Linked DNA regions of Styela clava. The protein of the gene in region 1 interacts with the protein of each later gene in a pairwise test. Links are inferred from orthologs where the notes say so. Each region holds a gene or a part of one and is shown on either strand. Other genes may lie near its edges.

Region 1 (8,205 bases):
TAAATAACCCAGAGGGTCCCACAATTTCATTACACATGCTAAAGCTTTTCTTTTAGAAAATCCTGTTTGCATGAAAGAAATGTCTTTGAATTTTGAACTGAAACTGTCATCAGTTTTATTCCAGGAATGACCAAGTACATCAACAACTTTTTCACCAGGATTTTGATCTACTTCAGGATGGTTTGAGTTCCAAATCTTTATAGAGAATTTTCCACGAATAGGTATTTGATCAACATCATTGATAACCTTGTTTGCAAGAATGTGATTCGAAACAGAATGACTGACGTCATCAATGTATGTATCTTTGTCCAATACAACAGCTCCAAGAGGATGATCTTTTCGAAATTTATCGGCTAAAAATTTAATAGTAAAGCATGCCAAGTCAGGACTAGATTTATCTCCGAACATAACCCGAAGCCATTGAAAGATTGTTGGTTGCACTGATGAATCACCATAGCGCCAAAGGAAACGATGAAATTTCTGATCGACTTCTGCCATTTGAATTTGATTAAACATTTTCGATATATCACCAGCAATAGCCACACTATCAGCTCGCCATGCCATGAAACATCTGAACAAAGAATTCGCAAAGCTGGGGCCTTTCTCTAAACCATCATTGAGACATGTGCCCTTAAAAGGACACGCAGAATCAAATACTATTCTTAATTTTGTTGAGGTTTTATCCGGACGTTCTACGATACGATGATTGAGGTACCATGCATTTTCAACTTTAGCCGTTTTCGTTTCAACCGGTGTTAGTCGTCGTACTACGCCTCGCTGAAGCAGATTTTTAATCTCCATATTATACTCTTCCGTTTTTCCTTTTCTATACAATTCTTGTTCCCGTTTTTTCATTTGTTCATACGCCTTCTCAAAATTGTTGTGCAATTTTTCTGGGAAACCAGGTTTCCATGGCATTTTGACACAAACTCGGCCATCAGCACCAATATTGGTTGTCGCTTTTACATGTTTGATAAATGCTGATTCTGCAATTTCTGAGTTAGAACAAACACACAAAGTTGTGGGTTGCACTCCAAGAACTTCACCATGGAAAAACTTGCGCAACTCTTCATTTTCTAATGATGAAAAACTATTAATATTTGCTACATGATTGAAAGATCGTTGCGGTGCTTGAATAATGCCTCCATATAGATAGCATCCAAGAGATGTGAAAGCTGCTGAAGGATGATTATCGGGATCAATTGGCGAACGTAATGAATGCATTGTTTGAATTAAAGGTGCATAATCTCTACCAACAAGAACATCGACTGTTTTTTGCCCAACTGGTATTTTATCCTGAATTCCTCTAAGATATTTAAACTGTTTAAAAATAGATGGCGGAATTGGTGTAACATCGTGACAAGGTTTTCTCACAGCCGTAACTCTGATATCAAATATCTGGTCTCGTGAAAGAGGTCTAATTTTTAAATTATAATCTTCAGAAGGTTCTTCATGAATGGCTCCTCCTGCGACATCAAACCGAATTGTTCCATGACCTATTGCCTTTTGTTTCAATGATTTTACAAAATTACGTCTTACCAAAGAATGGTTACTGCCACCATCAAGAAAGAAATTTGCCTTGATCCATGTTTTGTCACTCGCCTGCACTTCTGCAACAAGTAATGGAGAATAATCCAAATTAAAAGCGCTCAATTGTCTTGAATGCATCTGAGATTGGTTGAATACTGCTGCATTAGAGTGAATATGTTGACTTTCCAAATTCGAGTCGTTCATACCAGAATTTCTCATTGTATTGTAATTTCCCTGTACTTTTCCGGTACATAATGACCAATGATGCTGTCTTTGGTTACAATTTACACAGCTATCGGCTGTTGTTCTTGCACAATTTCTTGCAAAGTGAGTTCCTAGACATATAAAACATCTTCGATCATCTGCTATAAAGCTTTTTCTTTCAGGAATTGATAGGTTTTGATATTTGTTGCAGTCTATAAGGCGGTGCTTAATTCCACATCCAAAAATACAAGTGACTGTCCTTTGACGTGGCTGAACTGAACCCATGTTATCATTCTCGTCTGTAGCATGATTAACCGTATTGAAATTAGATCTTGGCGACTGGTTTTGTCTCGGTCGAAACCTCATATTCTCGGTTTGACTGATAAAGTTATATAAAGTTACCAGATATTTCCAACGCTGTAGCTTCAGATCTCAGAAAATTCGTTATAGATTCCAAGTTATAATTACCTTTGCTGGAACTATTATATCGCAGTGCAGTGTCTGCATCTAGACACTCTAATGCTCTATTGACAGAAATAACCGAGTTTGCATCCTGTTTTAACCCAAGATCTTCCATACGTCGGCAGAAGAGAGAAATTTCGTGAGCTAGTCGCCTAAGGTTCGCTGGATTACGAGAGATCTCTTCCTTCCAGAGAGTGCTCAAATCGTGTTAAAATTCTTTCCAAATTTACTTTGAGTACCGGAAACTTACTCTTGAGTTGTTTGAAATTCTGACCTTGAAAATATTCTGCCATTGTTAGTTGGCATTCTTGCTTTGATGTATTGCTGAATCCTCGAAAGGTTGAAGAAGAGCTGCTTGATTCAGAATCCAGTTTGTAGGTGTAGGTGCAGTATCATTAAATGTCACTAGTTTGGATTTCTGCCCATTGACAAATCACCCTTGCCTACTATGTCTCTTTAACTAATATCCCGAAATGAAACGAATAGATTTCTCCCAAAGTGATTTAATCCAGATATCAGTAAGACAAAGTGACCTGACAAACAATAAAGATGAATATTAAAATGAGCACAGACAATCAGGCACAATACAAAGCAAGAATATACCAATTCACTTACATTTAAATGAGGCTTTGTCAGAACAGATTATCCCAATGTAAGAAACTTAAGAAATAGATTATTCATATCCAATGACTATAGCACCATTAAAAAGCTTATGAGAACAGATCTAAAGACAGATTAAAGCTCTAGACAGTTAACCATAACAAGAAGTAATCGAGTAATCAGCCAATAATCGCGATGCAGTGAACCATACGTAAACACACCAAAAGTAAGTAGTACCAAGATAAATCAGTCAAATGTTCAAACCACTGCTCGATAACCAGTTTTGGTTTCCCGTGTATCCCAAGTGTAAACTCCCTAGTAAAACTTGAAATATCATTTTCTCGTAATTTGTGTGCAATATTTTTTACTGGTTGGAAAAAATAAACTATATAAATAAGCATCATACCGGGGCTGCCGGACGATAAAATTTTGAATGCAAAGCCAACTGAAACACTCCCATTGTAACCAGTAACAGGGTCCGGTCATTTTCAATTCATCAAAATTCACCTATTTTCAGCTTGTGTCGGATGGTTTCATAGCTACCATTTTTTGAGTTAAGGGCTCGGGAACTTGATTTTCTCCACATGCCGAAACAGATAACCAGATAATTCACGTGAGCTGGATATATCTGAACTGATTACCAGGCGAAGGTCCGTTAAATTATTAATCCATCATACTGACTTTCCTTCTTCGTTACAAATTGACAAAACCTACCATTGTCAGTCAGTCCCCGCTATACTTCCATCGGACTTGAAGGCCGAAGGGCCCATGCACCTGGAACAATTAGCTTATTAACTAATCCCGACATAGACAGGTCACCGGACGAGAGGCCGTGAGTCGCCATATGGTTGGACCGTCTCATCGGCTTCCCTCTCCCCCGAAATAAATATGTAAATCCTATTCCCTCCTACCGGAATTTCTCCCAAAATAACCAAAACAACTCGCAAGATCGCAAAGTTTCCAGCCTTGTCGACTCCTGATTGGCTATTGATGACCTAATTGTTATGACACGTGACTTCTTTGTGATCAGCTGTCCAAACAAAAGAGGTCAGCGTCGCAGTTGCTCACACCCAACGGTTAAAATTCACGCCGAAGGAGAAAAGGTAATGCCTTATATTTTGTTAAATATGAACGCCACGTGCGTGTAATGTTTGATGTACCCCGGTATTCCCCATCATTTGTGAAGTTTGTATTCTGGACTTCGGTACGATACGGTGCCGTACCCATAGCAGTACGGTAACCTTGCAATTGCAATACTGCAATTTGTTTTCTTTCAGTCGTTGGTCAGTTGGTAGGGCATAATGGGGTATCATATTTTAGTATTCACGGCAGTGCAGTACGTATGCGCCATTATCGTGTTTCGTCAGCGTTTTGTGGTTAGGTTTGAATTTAGTCAGTGTGTTGTGTATTGCCTACGTTGTTGTTATTGTGGCGTTGTTGTTATTGAGGCGGTGTGACTCATCGTGCTAAGTGTTAGGAATACGCTCGCCACCGCACCTCTGATCACTCTGCATGGGTTCGCAGGTTCGAATCCCACGCAGGGATGGTTATGTGCGAGAGGATTGCTGGACTCTTCGCCGACGTGGGGTGGTTCACGTAACTGCTGGTCGGTTACGGCTTCCTCCACAATCAAGTCCATGCTTCCGAAAACAAACAACTAAATATGTAAAGGATAATATTTGAACTAAATGCGAAGATAAATTCCCCACCCCCTGAAACATTGATTTTAATATAAGCCCTCACTTTAAAACAAGACCTAGTCAATAGCGCGAATTTTTTTTTGATCTAGTCAATAGCAAGAAATCTCTCCAACTTGTTTTAAATGATTATTCTAAAACGTGTGAGAGAGGAAAAAGTGTTATTTAAGTAAATGGATATCGGTTTTCAAATTTTTTAAATTTAAAAATCTGGTAATTCTTCACTTTGTAATTTAGTTTTTGATAAATGAAAATAAAAGACATCCCCCGGAAATAAGCCCTAGTGTTATTTTTCGAAAGAAAATTGAAATAAGAGACTGTCTTATTTTCGGAAAAACACAGTTCTTATCGAATTCAACATAAGCAGCGTCCATGCATCTGAAAACTAAGCCATCTTATTGGCCTTTTTCTCTCCTCGGATAAATATGTATAATCTATCTCAATCCTATCCGGAGGAAATTAAATCCTCAAGTAGAGGATCATGAGACGTGTCATTATTCATTATAATTTAATACCCTCACTCTTTTTGTTACTCTTGTGTTAGTCAGCTGACTTCTAGGGAAAATTTCTTAGTTTTTTTAACATGACTTTAATAAAACATGTCCTTTGTAAGAAGGATAGATTTTCCCATTTTTTTACTAGAAGAAAAAGAAGATGATAGGACTGCCTAGTCGTACAGCAAACCACTTCCTCTCGTCCGGTAACCATTTCATGCCGGGTATAGGATTAGTTAGTCAGTACTTTATTTCCGCAGCATAGACTTGATGGTGGAGGAAGCCATAATCGACCAGCGATTTTGTCAATCATCCTACAGTTGCGAGGAGTTCAGCAATCCTTCCTCAAATAATTAGCGATGGCATGCGTATTTCTAATGGCATGACGTGCCATACTGCAGAGGAGCGAATGATAACAGTATCACTAGATAAATAAATAAATGGTTAGATGGTTTATTTTGTAATTTATAGATTATTAAATATGGAGAATTCTGGCCATCTGAGCATAAGAAAAGAGCACTTGCATGTTAGTATGTGAATATTCCCACCAGTCACAGTCCACCACGGATTCAAAATATCAAAACTGAAATATTCTTTTCATTTGTTTATACTTATATAGTCTTAATATTAGTTATAACACCATGGAATCGCAAGCCACGTCTTCTGTACCTGTCCATGAGCGAGAAGTCGAGTCGGATGAATCAACACCTAAACCTACCTCAAAGTTTTCAGACGAGCCTCCAACAAAGAGAAAGAAGAATTCAAACCTTGAAGACAGATTGAGCCATATATTGTCTTGTAATGTAAGTTTGCATTGGTTTTTTTGATATGTGATTAGTACAATTCAGGGACTGGAGCATGGATTAGCACTTGGGGCCTGGGGACCCCCCAAGCGACCACAGAGCAGCTGGAAGGGAGTCACAATGCTAGGTTCAAAACTCCTGTTCTTTTCTGTTTCCTTTATTACTTTCATTATTTCACAGGGTGTTTACACTTTGTTGAGCATGAATTGCTCGAACATAATGATATTTGGAAACTACCATACAAAATAACACTATAAATACCACTGGATTGATAAACAGGGGGGCCATGAGTGCTAAAGGCCTTAAAAACTATCTAGTCTGTTTCATTACGTTCTGTGTGTTGTCATTTTTGTATCTTAAAAAATGAAAAATAAATGAATTATCTATCTCACATTTATTTCTTAGGTCTGTTTTGACTTGCCTTCATCAGCATGCTACCAATGCTGCAGAGGACATCTCATGTGTGCTGCCTGCTATAACCACTTACTTGCTGATTCAAAGTTAAAAGATGAACAAGTGGGTATTTATTCTTCCTCTAGAAAATTGCTGAAGCGTAACTAGACAGAAAATTCTCATCTGAAACGGGTGGGTGAATGCTGTCTGGTATCGCCTCGTTGATTTTCAATTATAATTCTGAGTTGAAAGAGGGAGCAAGTAAATATTACAAGAGATTATGACTAGAAATTGATGGTTAGGCAGAATAATCACATCTGAAAGAAGGTTGTGCAATGCTGCCAGATCATTCTTAAAGTTACTTTTGTCTGTGTTGTACATTTTTTGTTCTGTGTTACAAATGGAAAATTGAACTAAAATTGTGTTATATGAATTGTATTATTGATTTTTATATGGATGAGGTCAATTTGTAGGCAAGCGAACTCTAGTCTGTTTCCCAGACAAACAGTACTAGTATGTTTACGGCCAAGACTTGTTGTGTATCTGTAGAATCAAAATGATAAACTAGAACCTCCAAGAAAGTCGGTGATTCACCTTATAAATAAGCATCCTATTGCATAATAACTCCAAATTTGTATCTGTGGTTCGCTACCACATCAGCTTAAATTTCATTTCCGCTTACTTTTTTTTCATTGTCAAGACTTTACATTAGCTACCCCTTCCTAGCCAACGTGTCCATCTTGCCGCGTTGACATCGGCCACGGATCTTGCACAAGAAATCTCACTGCAGAGAAAACAATATCAGAATTACCGGTCGTTTGCGTATATTGTTGCGGAAGTTTTGCTCGACACATGATTAAAGGTCATCAGACCGAAGACTGTGCTGATAGGCTAGTCAAATGCAGGTTTGTGATTTTCTTGACACTCTAGAAGTGTGTGTACCAATATGGAACTACCGTATTTGCTCGTTTTGTAGCCCGGGCCCATATTTTTTTATCCGAACTCACCAACCGGGCCCTTATTCAAACCTTATTGTCATTTCCAGTTCTCAAGTATGATTTAAACGAGAATAACGAAAATTTTGACTTTTTCTACGCACCGCAGGTACAAATCCGCAAAATAAGAAAAGTTTTGCGACGCCCCATCAATATTGAAATGACGCACTTGGTCGTCGCGTCACCCAGTTTGAGAACCACAGTGTTACGTAATCAATGCTATCTGTTATGTAATTGGACGTCTAAGGGGTGAGTGTTATCCACCAGCGCTTAAAATTCAACAGCATTGTGACAAAAGCACTTCTTATTTCCTATTGTTCTCTACCACTGAAAAATCAGCTTTTACATCGAGCGGGTATCCAAGCACCGGCCCTTATTTATTTTTATGTTCTGTTCACACGGGCGGCTAATCAAACGGGCCCTCAATCAAGATCATGCGGTAAAACGAGAATATACGGTAACTAATTTTGTTCGCCCACTTTACATCAAGCTGTGTAAAGGGACTGAAACTTATTGGTTAACATAGACAGTCCCTGAACTCGTAATAGAACTAAAATAAGGAAAATCGGAGTAAAATTATGTCCTAACCTGGTGCACACACTACCGGAGTACCCTTTTCGGCGCTCCAGAAGTATGTGTACCCGTATGGAGGTAACTAACTTTGTTTGTCTATTTCACATCAAGTCAGTGTCAGGCAGGGGGCGTAGCCACGGATATTTAAGGGGGGGGGGTTCTGAAATTTCTAGTTTACAAGTTAGATCGTAACAGCTAGCAAGTCTTGCTGGAGGTCGGAAAACAATGGATTGGGCATTTTCGAATCTAATCAAATATATTTTTTTAATCAAATCTCGAATACTTGGAAGATATGTAGTTGGCGTCGATTTAAAATTCTTGTGTGAACATGTTCAAATTACTCACTATTCAAAATGCCCAGCGCTAGTTACGGCTTCGTTTTAAGGAGACTTGTTTGGAAAGCTGGTGACCACAAAATTATTGTTCAATATTTCCATTATCAACATTGCGAAAT
Region 2 (8,205 bases), on another chromosome or scaffold:
GTCGTATCGCTCCTTCCAGTCTACACCGAAAAAAGCGTACTTTTTTATAGCCACTATTTATTTATTATTATGACTGTTTTTTTCTGGTTGACGAAATAAATCTCTCTCTCTCTCTCTCTCTCTCTCTCTGACCCTTGATTGTCGCCGTAGGATGACTCACATAACTGCTGATTGTTACGGCTACCTCGGGTCTGGTGGTGACTAATCACAGTGTTAGTGATTCTTCACCTATAATATTTCCCACAACGTTCAATCATCCAATGTGTTGATACGTTTAGCAGTGTGACGGCTAGCATTGCCTTGTTTACTACATGGTATGCTTATTATACTTTGTTTACTGCTGTACTGCATTGCTATGGATGTTTAAAGGGGTAACAAACGAAAAATTACGAGTTATGTTTATTTAATTTATGAATTCATTCATAATTCATGAATTATTTTAATCAAATTTCTATAATGACAGATCATACTTGAAATCAGGATAACAAATGCATTTCAAGGGCATAAGAGCGATTTCTAGATCACTTCAAAAAAATGAAACATCAAAAAGTGATATATTCAAATCATCATTAACTAGAATAGATGAAACTAAGCATCTCAATGCTTTCATCACAGTTGCAAGAAAGGCTGGTAACAATGAGGTCACCAATCAAAAAAATCACATACTGACCGGAACTACATTCTCACTGAAGGATAATTATTCTTCCGAAGGTATACTCACGACATGTGGATCTAAAATGTTGGCAAATTATAAACCAACATACAATGCTACTGTACTTAATAAATTATTAAACCATGGCTCACAACTCATTGGAAAAAACAACATGGATGAATTTGCCATGGGGTCGGGATCTATAGAATCTATCTACGGTCCTGTGAAAAATCCTTGGTCACCTGACGTATTATTGAATCCGTCTAGCAAAGATTGGAGAGTTGCTGGGGGCAGTTCAGGTGGGGGTGCTGTGGCAGTCGCAACTGGATGTTGCCATTTTGCTCTGGGATCGGACACCGGCGGTTCTGTGAGAAATCCAGCTTCTTATTGTGGGGTTGTTGGTTTAAAACCTACTTATGGATTAATATCTCGTCATGGTTTAATTCCTCTTGTTAATTCAATGGATTGTCCTTCCATTTTTGCAAGATCAGTAGAGGATGCTGCTATTGTTTTAGATACATTAAAAGGGAGAGATATCATGGACTCCACTTCAATAGAAAGCAAGAAATTGAAAATATGCTTAAATGAAAATTATGATATTTCTGTCAAAGGATTAAAAGTTGGTATACCAAAGGAATGCCTAGTTCATGGCATGTCTCAGGAGGTTGTAGATATGTGGCGATGGGCAGCGGACCAGTTTGAAAATGCTGGTGCTGAAGTAACACTTGTGAGCTTGCCCCATATGAAATATTCAATAATTTGCTATCATATCCTCGGTAATGTGGAAGTTGCCTCAAATATGGCAAGATTTGATGGTCTTAAGTATGGACATAGGTCGTCTATAAATGAATCTACATATGCAATGTACGCAGTTTCTCGGAGAGAGGGATTCAATGATACTGTGCGAAGTAGAATTCTTAGTGGAAATTATTTTCTTTTAAAAGATAATATAGAAAAGTATTTTTATAAAGCGCAAAAAGTGCGGAGACTTATATTAAAAGATTACCAGAAAGTTTTTGGAGCACATAACTTGTATACAAGTTGTGATAGTGATGATTCTAATTCATCTGGTATTTGCGATGTTCTCCTTGCCCCCACTGTAATTTCTGATGCGCCATTATACTCTGAATTTATAACGGAGGACAATAGGACGCGATCAGCTGAGCAAGATGTATTAACTCAAGCTGCAAATATCGCTGGTGTTCCTGCCATAAATATACCCACTCGATTATCTAGAAATAATATGCCCATTGGACTCCAAATTACTGGTAGACACTTTAGTGAGCCAAAAATTTTGAAAGCCGCTGCTTTTCTTGAGAAAGTAGCACAGTTCCCTAATTTGGAACAACATTTTACAACACAACTTGACTCTTCCAATGCTAGTAAACCTATTTTACAACAGATGTCTTGAAGTGTTCCCTTTAATATATTTGTTTCAAAGCAGTTTCTGATTTGTCATTAGTAATATCATGGAAAGTGTGTTCGTTGGGAGTAGAGTGGTCTTGAAAATTAATTGAGATGGGGTGATAACGTGATATTGTCGAAACTTGTGTCTGGAGTATTCTTTGGCAACCTATGGTATTTTCTATTTCTGAGAGCCTTTTATTACTATCAATGCATTGAAGTTGACTATTAATAATAATATTGTGTTATTGACCAATTTAAAATTGTTTTCTACCTATTTAAAATAATGAGGTTCAAGACAACTTATTCGATTAGTTGCAAGTATTCGAAAAAGCTCATTTTTAATTACCTACTCGCAACTGAAAATAAGGGCCATTTAGTTAGGTTCTCATTGAGGGGTATTGATATTTACTTGTCATAGTCAATTTTATTTTTCCCATCCATCAAAAAATTGGCTCTTGTGCCAATGTGATATTATCGATGGTATTACTATTTCAAAATTTTGACACTGATTTATTAACAAAATTGCCAATAAGCAATTGCGGTAAAATTTGGATAGGGTGTCTCTTCTGTTTTTTGTTTTTTGCACACAAGAAGGATTGAGAATGTGGGCTGAAAGAGAGTCTAATAGATCTTTGAGTCTGACAGTTTGGTAACAGAAAAAAGGTTGGAAACCACTGTTCCAAACTATTAGTCTTTTTTGTTGATGAGGTTCTTTTTGTAATTGACTTATTAAGTTTTTTGTAATTGACTTTTTGCATTATGCGGTTTATGAAAATATTGTTAAAAGTCCGAGTTTATCGCACATAATTGAACCACACTTTTTCATTTTTCAGTAGATAATTTTCTTTAGTGATTATCTTGAAGCAAACTATATTTCATAGAAGTTTAATAAAGATCCAAACTTAGGAATGAGCAGCATAGCTGTTATGAGGATTAAGAGAGAGCTCAAAGACGCTGAAGATGAGGTATGCCAATCATGATTTAAGTAGAAGCAGTAGAGGGGATAATTAATACCAATAACTGTCAACCATTTATTTACCATATTATTAAAATTCAAAATTTAGAAAAATGATAAGATGATTGGTAGCTGGAACCACTAAAATTTCTGGTAGGTCAGGCTCTACTTCCATCTAACATGGTAAGCTCGGCTCCTCCAGTACTGGTTCCAAATCTTTCAAATTTGATCGATATTTTGTTTTAATAAGATAAGTTAGTGTCGAAAAATATTTCACCACATCCTCTATTGAGCCCTTTCACGACCCGCCGTTGGCTGGGACTCCCAGTTAGAAATGAATGTTTTCTAACATACATGCTATTTTGTGAGAAGAGAATATGTTACTCTCAGTAGAGGTGTGCGAGACTAACTCCCAATCCTTTCTCAATGCCTTTACGCTAGTGGATTCGTATGCGTGTAACGCAAGGATGCTGTAGCATGAATAAAATACCATAATATGTTATTCACTTTTTGGATATTAGTACCAATATTCAATAAGCATTCAATGCATTTTGAACTCTAATATTTACAGCCCTTGATATAAACTGTTATCTGTGTTACAGAAAGATTTGTTTATAACGATCACTTGTGAAAGTAAACTGACAGAATTGAGAGGACAGATAAAAGGCCCACCAGGAACACCTTATGCTGGTATACCCAATTGTTATGTCTATTTTCTAGAGTGCATTGATAAAAATAAATTGCCTATTCGTATGTTTCGTTTTTACATACCAGTAGCTGCCACAAAATAATTGACACAGTTACCTATTCGTATTATATCTCCACTTTTCAGAAGTGGAATTTGCTTTGATATAAATGTAACTCTACAATTAGGGCCCTTCTTTGTAGTTGAAAACACTAGCAAAATGTTGAGATAGTCCTTTGTCAAATTTAGATTATCAATCACATGCTTTATTTAAGCATCAGTAATATTTCTTATTGGAGACACTCACAAATAGTGTCCTTATTTCAATTTTCTTGTTAATTTCTGCCACAATGGCTAATCAGTGAAACGATCTCATAGAAGCTGCATTAGATGTGGCTTATTTCGCAAAATAAATCCAAAAATGAGCATGAAAAATTTGTCAATGAGAAAGTAGCCTATAGAAAGAAATTTTTGGGTTAAAAGTCTGAGAAACATCTAATACTTAGTTCTTTGAAGGCGTTATTCTGATTGCTCCTCAATGCCAAGGCAGTTTTAGTATCTTGTAGTTGTAGACTTTTTTGTTCATGTTGTATTTCATAAATTGTATAGCTTATCTAATTTAGATTGTTTTTTTAAGGTGGAACTTATGATTTGGATATCAAAATTCCAGACACATATCCATTCAATCCACCGAAGATAAAATTTCTAACACAGATTTGGCATCCAAACATTAGTTCTGTGACTGGAGCAATATGTCTCGATATCTTGAAAGATCAGTGGTACGTAGAATGTAAAACATGCTCAAATGATAAAAATAAAAGTTGTAGTTAGACAATAAAAGTCTGGGTCATCAGGGATAGTGAAGAAAAATTCGCAATATTTTCCCAATTGAATAGAGGATGGATGGAAGAGGACCCATCACAGGATAACCGATATGACGACTTTTTCATATGGTAAATCACGTCGGCGCTCCAGAAGTGTGTGTACCAATATGGAGGTAACTAGTTTAGTACGCCCACTTAACATCAAGTTGTGTAAAGGGACTGAAGCCTATAAGCAGGGGGTAAATTCATTTGACTAACACGGACAGTCCCAGTACTCATAATAGAACTAAAATAAGGAAAATCGGAATAAAATTATGGCCTCACTCACCTTAACCTGGTACACACGCTACAGGAGTACCAATCACGTCAGCAAGCAGCAGTCCAGCAATCCTCCAGCACATAATTACCGGTATCCCCTACAGGATCCGAAACTGTGAATGAACCCATGCAAGAGGTTCGATGGCGAGCCTATTCCCAACACTTCGCAAGATGCGCGACTCTGCCGAGCGAACTACAGCGAAATACTCAGCTACTTTGCCGATAGTATATGCATGCAGATAAAGCAGAATAATAATATCCTGTGAATTTTATATTACAGGGCGGCTGCACTTACATTACGAACAGTTTTATTATCCTTACAAGCTTTACTGCAGGCTGCAGAACCAGATGATCCACAAGATGCGGTAGTTGCAAAACAGTTTAAAGATAATCGACATATTTTTAATAAAACAGCATTATATTGGGCGCAACATTTCGCAAAAGGTAAGTTGGTTTATTTGAGCGCAATTTGCAACCAACTCTATCAATTATTCGTTTTCGTTTACACTTTCGTGTATCTTCGTGAATCGATGCGAAGCAAATATAATACTCAATAGCTGATGAATAAACTGAACACATAATGAAATTTAAAAATCTATGACATGGTCATGTTTAACTAAGAACGCATGGAGTAAATAGCTTTCAATGAGGTTGTATTCGTTAATGCAGGAATTATTTGAATGATTCTTACTATTTTTGCAGTTGTTGTGTTTTGTTATGCTGTTAGCCTTCAATTGCTCGACATGGTAATTTTGCCAAATAAAATTATTCCTAAAGTTAAAAGAAGTTTATTGAAGTATCAAATATGGCTAATTTTAATTTTCTGTATTTAGCACGCACCTGCTTCGCAATCAAATATTTTGTTAAACCACAATCACAAATATCACTTGGCTTATTACCTAACCTTTTCTTTTCAAAATACTCTCATCTATCAGTATTCTGAAAAAGCCTGCAAAAAAGATATCTGCTTATACTAAATCAAAGTCAATTACCTAGGACTATTATGAATATTCCATTTACTTTTATTGTAGCACCAGGGAAAAAAGAGGAAAGTTTTGAAAAACAAATACGTACAATCACGGAAATGGGTTTCTTTCAGGTAAGATTCATTTTCATTATTAATTATGTTTTTCGACCCTAATGGAGTCAATGATGGAAAAGGGGTTATTCATGTGCAATTTTTAGCTTCTTGTAATATTGCTAGCCCAAGTATTTCGACTCCATAACCATAATCACGAAACAATAAATAAAACTGATTACAGAATCAAGGGAGAAAAGTATGATCATATCTAATCAGGTAACTGGTAATTTGTTCCTCTCAGCTGTCTCTTATATTAGGTGAATTAGTGATATTGAATGATACCACTGAGATATCCATATGCAGATGGTTGTTCAATGTCATCTACTTCTGAAATCGGCAAACAAGGTGTCACTGACACAACGACTTTGGTAGTCTTCCGTCTGCTTGCGACTCCCGTCAACTGCGGAAAAAATATCTTTTTATTTAAATTGATCGTTTATTATTATATATTTTTAATTGTGTCGTCACAATTTTTCATGCACAACGAAATAAATATCTGAATCTACCAGTCGCCACCAAATTCTTGATCATTCCCAGCTACTGTGCAGTGATATTAATCTTATCATATTTTTCAACATTTTTTTAGAGTGATGCATTGCAAGCACTTTCTGCTCATAATTGGAATATGGAATCAGCAATACAGTATTTAACAAGTTGATTTTTGATTATTATATTTATAAAAAGTTTTTTACGGTATAACTTGATTCATGTTCCAAGACATTTTCCCTTCTACGACAAATGTGTGCCACTGTTTCAAAGCATTGTGGCTATAAGACACTTCTGCAGTCTTTGTTATCATTGGATAACATTTTATGAGGTCACAGTTCTAATATAAAAATTTCAAATTTCTGTTGAAAGAGATACGTTTGAAAGTTGAAAGATGATTTTTGAGTGGTATCTTCAGTTGGTCACTCCACCCTAATATGCATTAAAACATAGTTTCAGACAATACACATGATGTTATGACTCAGATTTTGTTTGTCTTGAGTTACGTTTGAGTGCAGGCTTGTGAATTCAATGTGAGAACATGATGTGATGTCATCGACTGAAAATGGAGTATTCAATAGAGTTTTGGTCCGGCATTTCCTCTACTGCTCATATTTTTTTGGAGTGTTTCATTCATGCATTAATATGGAGCTATATGATAATGAAAAATCGGACCTCCAGAAGTATGCGCACCAAGATGGCGCACAACCTGAACATAGTATGTGTGTACCGGTTGGGATTCAAACTTCTGAAGAACCGAAAAATCAATTATTATTAGAAAACTAATTGTTCAAAAAACTTGCATTTATCATGACTGACCAGGTCATATTATTTCTGCTTGGTTATCCTAGACATTGATTAATTTGAAAGACTGGGCAATCGCATGCTATATAAATTGAGTCAATTCTATATCAAGCCAATGCTTCCAATATAGTTTCACATATGTATATTTTTTTTCACTTCGCAGGCTTCAAAAACTTATATTTCTATCATATGAGCGATTTTTCTGCTGCGCGGATAGTAGGCTATATTGAATTTATTACCAGTTAAAATAGCAAGCTCCTGTTTATGTAAGAAACAAGGGATTTTCAATTATTGGTATTTGTCTGCTTCACAGCATCTATTGAATGACTCTTACCGTTCAACATTTCTATCCTTGCCTTTTGTTTAGTTTAGTCCATTATGTGGAATATACCAAATTTGAACAGTTCGCCAATTATTTTCATAAACTTGCTGCAACATCTATTCATTGTCTGTGCTTCAGCATCGAGAACAATTGCTATACTATTTGATGTTATTATGTTGTAAAGAATACCACAATATTCTCATGTCTATATAAAAATTAATGGGAAGTGTATGGTTGCATTTTCTAAATACCAGTCTTTCAGAAAATAAATCTTAACCTGTGTGTTATGAGTAGGGCTGGGCATTTTCGAATCGAATAGTAAATTATTCGGTTCAGAGCAAAATTTTGAATCGCCGCCATCTTTTTTTTCTTCTTTTCGCCAGTGGTCTAGGACTAGGTGAATTTCTCAATTTTTTTAATTGAAGCCATATTTTTTCAACGCAATTCGGACATATGACTCTTTTCTGTAGTGAGTTATTGATAAAAACGTGTTTTTTATTGTGTGAACGCTCAGCAATCTGCCTGAGTGATGTATTCTATGTTTTCAGTAATTCATGTGTCTGGAGGACCTAATACAATAAAAAAGTTACATACAATTTAATATCTCCCGGGTATTCGAGATTCGATTCGAAAAAAATATTTAATCCGATTCTGAAATCATCAGGTATTCG

What was found.
Region 2: the proteins of zinc finger TRAF-type-containing protein 1-A-like (region 1) and ubiquitin-conjugating enzyme E2 K-like interact in a two-hybrid assay, tested with the Drosophila melanogaster proteins (2 studies listed by BioGRID). The link is inferred for Styela clava from reciprocal best matches to the Drosophila melanogaster genes CG32486 and Ubc4.

What each region holds. Positions count from the first base shown.
Region 1 is NC_135252.1:24,637,258-24,645,462, reverse strand, and holds the start of zinc finger TRAF-type-containing protein 1-A-like, read left to right. Parts: upstream 1-3,778; 5' UTR 3,779-3,899; intron 3,900-5,606; 5' UTR 5,607-5,628; coding exon 5,629-5,790; intron 5,791-6,195; coding exon 6,196-6,306; intron 6,307-6,909; coding exon 6,910-7,088; intron 7,089-8,205. Other genes in the region: uncharacterized protein LOC144420931, read right to left, coding at 1-2,100.
Region 2 is NC_135262.1:10,411,916-10,420,120, reverse strand, and holds the start of ubiquitin-conjugating enzyme E2 K-like, read left to right. Parts: upstream 1-2,834; 5' UTR 2,835-2,967; coding exon 2,968-3,024; intron 3,025-3,616; coding exon 3,617-3,704; intron 3,705-4,336; coding exon 4,337-4,478; intron 4,479-5,121; coding exon 5,122-5,285; intron 5,286-5,872; coding exon 5,873-5,940; intron 5,941-6,108; exon of another isoform or gene 6,109-6,322; intron 6,323-6,508; coding exon 6,509-6,580; 3' UTR 6,581-8,205. Other genes in the region: glutamyl-tRNA(Gln) amidotransferase subunit A, mitochondrial-like, read left to right, coding at 489-2,063. UniProt on the Drosophila melanogaster protein: Catalyzes the covalent attachment of ubiquitin to other proteins.